Linked DNA regions of Sus scrofa. The protein of the gene in region 2 purifies or fractionates together with the protein of the main gene of each other region. This does not show direct contact. Links are inferred from orthologs where the notes say so. Each region holds a gene or a part of one and is shown on either strand. Other genes may lie near its edges. The genes, in order: ROBO1 and USP33.

Region 1 (3,922 bases), on a different chromosome or scaffold from region 2:
ATGACCTGAAAGTTAATAGAGCTTTCACTAATGTAGTGTGGATTATAGAGACTAAGATGCTGCTTTCATTTCATGGTTATAATTGACTTTAACTGAAAGAGAATAAATGTAAGCAGGATTTCCTATTTATTTCTAACACCTTGTAATGCTAATGATCAACGAAAGCAAATGACAGCATATAAATAAATACACATTTAGAGAATAAAAGAAGTTATCCTGGCTCTTTAAAGTCATATTTTAATTTAAAAACTTACTGGCTCAAATTAATATCCATAATGTAAGAGAAAATGGACTATCATTCAACAAACTTTTGGTGATTTTCTTTTATGTACAGAAATTATTACTGAATTTAGGACTATAAAGAGACTATAAGACAGTCAGGCCCACAACAAGCTATGTTCCTCCTGTTGAACACACAGGTGCATGGGCACGTTTACACACATACACACACATACACACACATACACACATAAACTCTAAAATAATTGCTGAGATCTCTGCTTCTAGGTGAATAAGTCATGAGAAAAATGGATAATTATGCCTGAGAAAGTCTGAGAAGATAAACTCTCTTAAAGCTATTACACATTAATAGGATTATATAAAGTAGAGATGGGTAAAAGTTATTTCAAGGAGAAAGATAATATGTAAGAAGACCTGACAGTCTGGAAAGTTCATGGTCTTTTGGAGAATGCGAATGTTCCTAGCATGACTTGATTTTATAGTTCATAGTAGGAATCGGAGGGGGAAAAAAAACCTTTCTTTAATAGCCCTAGAAATTCAGACATTTTCTTCTCTTATGATTCCACAGAAAATTGCATATGTATTTTCACTGCATTTTTCATATCACATGAAAAATTGTCTGTTTAATGTCTGTCTAATCTATGAGATTATTTTATGGATATTTTCTGTTGATAATATATCTGATATATTATTGGCATTTAAGGAATGCTTCTTGAATCAAAGAGTCTGAAAAATTTAAATTAGAACCAGATTCAGAACACTCTGCTTTATATGACTGGTTAAGAATTTTACAGTTGTGATATTTTTCTTTAATAATTAGGAGATTCCTCATTATAGTTTGAATTTCTAGCTTCTATTTAAAAATTAAAACATCTGGCAACCCAGAGTCTACAATTCACATAGCAATGCTGACCTGGAGTTGAGTGGCAGTAACCACCCATCACAAAGGCTTTCTCTGTGCAGAGCCACAATCCCCACCTCTCTCTCTTGTCTTCCACTGAGCCTCTTTCACCTGTTTATATTACCTGCTTGGCTGCTGTAGGACTTTTTTTTCCCCCTCCTCTACTGCAGTATAGGCGACTGACAGTAAACAGCACATTCTCAGGTATGTGTTTTAGAAATATGTTTTGGCAGCTGTGTGAGCTATTTAATTAGGTCAGGTTGTAGAATATCATTATGTGTTTAGCAGTATCTTAAAATAGCTTTATATGCTTGTTAAAATAAATGTATTATATTATTGTTATATAATGCTCTTAGAAGCAACACATTTTTATTTTTTTAAAAAATAAATTTTGTCATGAAGTGAAGGCAAGCTTCTCATGTTGGTACAGTGTCGTTCCAAAATAATCAAGACAATGTTGCAATTTGCCTACGGGAAATAGACTTGTTTGTAAAACAGAGAAGTCTAATTTGTGAAAAAAATCTGCTCCGCTCATGAGGTGATAAAAATCATTCTGCAGGAAATAGAAGAGATGGAATATACCAACATGTACTTTATAAAGCAAACAGCTGTTTGTGTTGCAGTGCAGAGGATCCTTGAATGTGCAATGTACATTACATTTCCCTCTTCCATGGCTTTGGGATATTTTTGGCAAATTGTCTTTTTACATTATTCTTTGAATATATAATTTACACAGTACAAGCTAAGTAGTAAAGATGATGGTTTACCACTTCCCTTTGCAGAGGTATTTTTATCATGTCTTGGCAGAGATATTTATACATCTAATCCCTTCTACAAGACATTAGATAGAGCTTCGAGAAAAACTCGAATTTTTTTTTCTTTCCTTAACAACCACCTCTGTTTGAAATGAGGTGTGTTTGCAGTGCCAAAATTAAATATTCAGATTCGTCAAGTACTATAATCTGTGGTACAGAATGGGTAGGAGGGAAAAAGCTGAAATCTCAGCGTTTTCCTGTTATCATGTTATGAAAAATGTTGACAAACATTTGGAACAAGTGAGAGTTGGCAGGAGCAGGTTAGGAACTGGTAGCTGCAGAAGAGACCAGAGAAAATTGTCAGCTCATCTTTCCTGACATTTTGCTTATGTGTAGAGGGAGCTTTTACATCCCTTCTAATTTTTTTTTTTTAATTCCCTACATAATTCAAATGGAAAGCCTGATGAGACCATACCTGCTTTTTTAAAATTTATGGGAAAAACAGCCTTTTTGCATTTCTGCTGAATAAAATGACAGGATTGGCTCCAGGGTTTTCTACTCCCAGCAAAAGCCTTCAGGTTTGTCTGTGACAGGACTCTCCATAGAGGTTATTTTTACCTGGCATGGCTGTGCTGTTACTGATGCTGCTGCTCTCGATGGCAGAAATAACTTCTCCTGTGGGTGTCTCAGGCAGAATGAAAGCTGGATCAAGGTGGAGAGGTGAAAAGAATCGTGAGTAAACAGGAATTTTTACTCTTGGTGCATTTCTTTCTTTCCTCTTTATATTTAGGAATGTATCGGGTCTGCCTAGCTTTGCAGTTCACAGGATTTCCAAGAGGTTGTTTTAAGACTTCGGAAGAATTTTACACATTAAATATGCATGCAGAATAAATGGACTCAACCTTCTCTAGGCTCCACACATCTGCAATATTGTTCTGGATTTCCTTGCAAGACTTTTGTTTGGCTTTTCTAGTTAACTCTTACAATTCCTGAGACTGTAAAGACTTTGAGTAGATAGAAGCCAAAGGCCATATATGTAAGTTAACCTCAGCTCTTCTGTATAAAGTTCAAATAAGTTGCTCGTATTTGTTGATATTCAAATGCTAGCTACGTAATACACTTTTTTACATATAAGCATTTTGTTCTGATGTTGGCAAGAAAGGAAATTTAGAAATAGCAAATGTCATAGGCACTCTGATTTGAATCACTTAAGAGTCTGTGCTTTGCAATTGGGAATTGCTGGTTGATAAATATATTACTCTTTAGAGTCACTAACTTCCTTATTCTCTCCCTATGGACATGCAAGACCATTTCACTATTAAATGTGTTTATATGTTTAAGGCATATGGTATTTAAACTACTATTTCAGTTTTAGAACTGAATCTGTTTCTGGTATCATTATAGAAGAAGGAAATGGATTTGGCATTTGTTTCCCTCAGAACTAATTGGCCAGATCCAGCTACTGGCTTTTCTCCCTTTTACCCTCCCAGATGGTAGAAGGGTCGTGTGTGTGTGTGTGTGTGTGTGTGTGTGTGTGTGTAGAAAGCTTAGAAGTAGCTATATTCCTATCTCCAAGATAGAAGAGGTAGATGCATTCCTCTTCTCTTTAACTCTCTTCAAAAAAAGGATGTAGAGATGAACCAAGGAATCTCTTTGGAAAAGGGGAATGTTTCAAAATATTGTTGAGTGCTCAGAAGAGGCAATGCCAATGAACCTATTTTACTGAAACTCCAATTTAGAAGATTCAAGTAGCCTTAGAGCTAATGGCTATAATTATGACTTTTGCTTTAATCATGCCTTTGGCTCATTTACCATTTTGTTTTACTGTCATGAAATGATCTGATGGATAGATCAATGGGAACTGTAAGCCTGATAAGCTGGGAAAGTTATAGGTTTAATTTAGCTTTCACCTGAATTTCTCAGTAATCAATTATTATGGCCTTTTATCTTCCTTCCTCTTTCTCCTTTCTTTTTCCATTAATCTCTTTTTTTTCCTTCTCATGATTCAGAAAAGGAAATAGATCTG
Region 2 (3,922 bases):
CCTACTTGACTACAAACCTGACTCTAAATTCTTTAAGGAAATAAACCATGTTTCATTCTTTTCTTTTCCAAAGAGCTTTTTTTTCCCTCTGGTAGACTTATAGATATTGAAGTCCTTAGCCTTCTAAAGTAACTTTTGAAAGGAACATTTATTTTGATATACGCATGTTTCTTAAGTATTAGTTCTCTTGATATATACTATATTGTACAAAATTTGTGCTCCTTTTTATGGACAAATCAATTGTACTCATCTCAGAGTTTTTGGAACTATCCTATTTGCCAAAATGCTTCTGAAGTCACATGTAGACTTTTTTTAGAAAGTTTTTAAAAATATGTATATATAAAAGCTGTTACTTATTCTTTTATTTTTAGAAATGACTACATTTCATGTTTCTCACCAAAAAATCTTTCACATTTATGTACTTCATTTTCCTTGCAGAGTCCACAGCCTGCCACGTGTTATAGTTCACAGTGCTCCAATATCAATTCCAATTTATATCAAAGATTGTTCAGCAAGATTACTTCCGGCTTCAAGGAAATTCTGATCCATACACAACCTCGAAATGCTTCCGTCATGAGAAAAGACTTTTCTTGGCATTCCTAACTCAAGAGGATTGGCATAAGGCTCAAAGAAGACTGTACATGTGAAAGGTCATTAGAATTCTAATGGCAATACATAAACCTAAGACATCTCCTTAACTCTGAATTTCAAATAAAGATTAGAATAATTATTTACTACAATCCAATGCTATTAAAACTGCACTGTTATTTGCTTACTGGCAGGTTATAAATAGCCAGAAAAGACAAAAAAATTGAAAAGGAGCAATAAACCAAATCAAAAATAAGAAGTAATCTTAAGTAGACTATTCCTCTTGTATACAGCAGGAGGTCAGATATTTTACTCCTGGAATATTTTTTGTACTGTCCTTTTTTCTTTCAACCCTGTCAAAGTAAATAACAGAAAGCCTGGCATAATGTAACAATTACTACCACTTTTTCTTAAAATTAGCATTGTCTTTCAATAAGATTCCTATTTTTTCCCCTGTTTATATTAATAGCATGAAGTCGCTAATAATATTTGCATTAGGTTCAAATCAAATAATCTATTATCCGCATTAGTCAGAGCTTTCCAGATGATATAACTGCCTCAACCAGAAACGGAACTAAAATAGCCTCATCAGTTTTTGAAACAGGCTTTCCTTAAAAGAAAAATAATCTGATTAAACTAAAAAATTCTACAATTCTACATAAAATTCTTCTGTTGAGCAAGAAGTCGAAATGCTTGTGGTTAAAAATTCAGCGTCAGTTTAGAGCCTATGCTCCTGCCAGTCTTTTTCCCCTCTGGCCCAATTTTCCCGGCCTAATACCAATTATATGAGAAAGCAAACCCTAAAAATACGTGAGTGCAGCGAAACACCTAGAATCATCCAACAGTTCCACCTGCAACCTGTAAGTATTCAAATGAAGAGCGTTTTGTAGTAGGTAAATATGTAAGAATAAAGGTCTGGGAAAACACACACCGTGGAAACTGACTCAAACAAAAGCTGCAGATGGCCAGACAGCAAGGGGTAGCCTCTGAAAAGTCAAGATCAAATATTCGTCGGAGAAAAATTCCAGGGACGACAATACCCAGGTCTTCCCGCTGACAACAACGAATAACGGGGCCCCTGGGGCTGTACGCATGGGTCCGATCATGCCAACTGCGCCGCAAAGCGAAACCAGAATCCAGTAGCCAGCGCGCTGCGGGGTTTCAATCTTCTGCGTTCGCCGTGAGGGACTGGCAAGATGTAATGGGGAGACCAAGGAAAGGAGCGGAGCCTCTCGCAGGGACTTGCCTCACCCCTCCTGCCTCCGCTTCCTGGGGGAGCACACCCTGCGGACCCCGCCTCAAATCTACCCCCGACTCATGTCCTCCGCCGACCCCCCTCGGGGTGGGCACCAATCATCCTTGCAGCGCAGAGCACTGGAAGGGCCTAGGCCTTCTACCCGCCCGCGCACCCACCACCCCCACCCCAGACCAAGAAAAAGACGCCGCTACAGCAGTCACAGCGTCGCCGCGCGGGAGTGAGAACACAGACCAGCGCCCGGCCGCAGACGATGCGCCCTTCGGCCCCGCGCCCCTCCCAGCAGCGTCGCGCTCACCTCCACGGCCTTCCCCAAGGGACCCGCCAGCGCGGCCAACGATGGCCTGCGGCCGCTCCTCCACCAACTCTTCTTTTACTCCCCTGCCTGGGAGAGGGGCGGTGTCGCATATACAGCGCCGGAAAACGTTCCGCAGCTCAGCCCACGGGGTCCCCGCCTCCCGCACCGGCCACTTCCCGCAGCAGCCGCGGCTCCTTCCGGTGTCTCCGCGGCCGCCGCAGGCGCCTCGGGCGTCGCGGGAGAGCGGGGCGGGGCTGCTGGGAGAGGCCGCCCCGCCTCCGGGGCGTGGTCACGGCGCCGAGTCCAGGTGCGGGGACCCAGGCTGCTCTCACCAATGGGGCTTCCAAAGTAGCTAGGAGCACAGGAACCGTGTAGAGTAGTTGTAGATTTGGGGCACCTTTCGTTTTTACACGTGTTCTCCCCCTCTTCTAGACCACATTACGACCTTGCATTACAGAAGTTGCATTACGGCTGCCCGATGAATGACCTCAGGTTTCTGAGCTTACACAAAGAAATGTTAGACTACTTAATTCAACGCTTTCCCTTCCTTTCCTCTTCCTTCTCCCAAATTCTTCGGGCCTAGACTCTCTGAAAATCATTGTGTTCCGCTTTCTACGTCTAGAAAGTAGAAAGTCATCGCTTTCATTTTCCCTTAGGCCAAAATCAAGATCAAATCAAATATTTATTGAAACCTTAGTACCTGCTTAGTGACTAGAGCATTGGAAGAGATCTCCCTTCTAATTCATGGATCTGTTAATATTCTCTCAAGTGATTGATATGCAAACAGTAAAAACAGTGAAATTAATATAAATTAAGTGTTAAAATTGCCACCTTCGAAGTATCTGTTTACCTCTAACTTTTTGGTCTCTCAAATGCGCGCTTTTCTCAAGTGTTATGTAAGATGCTCAAAATCCATCTGAAACAAGTAGAAAATATGAGAGGTTCTAATTCTCTTCATTTGGTAAAAATGGAAGAAAGGAATCTTTGTCAACATTCTATGTAGGGACTGATACTAAGGTCTCAGTTTGCATCATAAATGTTCACCTATCCTGAATTCACTGAGTATCAGCATATTTCAAAATATTGCAGTCTACAGGATGTCAGCAATGTGGTTAAATTTTTAAATCAAATATCTAAATGTTTTTAAATATTTATACTCCTCCTTAAAGAGATAAGAGAATGATGGAGTTCCTGCTGTAGCTCAGCGGTAACGAACCCAAATAGTATCCATGAGGACTCCGGTTTGATCCGAGTGGGTTAAGGATCAGGTGTTGCGGAGAGCTGCGGTGGATGCAGCAGACGCGGCTCGGATCTGATGTTGCCCTGGCTGTAGTGTACGCTGGCAGCTAAGCTCGATTGGGCCCCTAGCCTGGGAACTTCCATATGCCACGGTGCTGCCCCCAAAATAGACCAAAAAACAAACAACAACAAAAAAAAGAGATGAGAATGATCATGAAAATCATTTGTTTCCTGATGTTTTGAAACAAAGTGCTATCTGAATTAAAGGAGTCCTATGGGGTTTTTTTGTTTATTTTAAGGGCCGAACCTGCGGCATATGGAAATTCCCAGGCTAGGGGCCCAATCAGAGCTGTAGATGCCAGCCTACACCACAGCCACAGCAACTTGGAATCTGAACATTGTCTGCGACCTATACCACAACTCGCGGCAGTGCTAGATCCGCAACCCACTGAGGTCAGGGATCAAACCCGCATCATCACGGATACTAGTCAGATTCATTTCCACTGTGCCACAACAGGAACTCCAGAGTTGTATGGGCTTAT

The links.
Region 1: the proteins of USP33 (region 2) and ROBO1 purify together in Homo sapiens (affinity purification with western blotting; 5 studies listed by BioGRID and IntAct, with this or other methods). This does not show direct contact. The link is inferred for Sus scrofa from reciprocal best matches to the Homo sapiens genes USP33 and ROBO1.

Annotation. Positions count from the first base shown.
Region 1 is NC_010455.5:175,692,896-175,696,817, forward strand, and holds the start of ROBO1 (roundabout homolog 1), read left to right. Parts: upstream 1-1,388; 5' UTR 1,389-2,519; coding exon 2,520-2,628; intron 2,629-3,922. UniProt on the Homo sapiens protein: Receptor for SLIT1 and SLIT2 that mediates cellular responses to molecular guidance cues in cellular migration, including axonal navigation at the ventral midline of the neural tube and projection of axons to different regions during neuronal development.
Region 2 is NC_010448.4:135,522,821-135,526,742, reverse strand, and holds the start of USP33 (ubiquitin carboxyl-terminal hydrolase 33), read right to left. Parts: upstream 2,338-3,922; 5' UTR 2,142-2,337; intron 600-2,141; 5' UTR 428-599; coding exon 398-427; intron 1-397. UniProt on the Homo sapiens protein: Deubiquitinating enzyme involved in various processes such as centrosome duplication, cellular migration and beta-2 adrenergic receptor/ADRB2 recycling.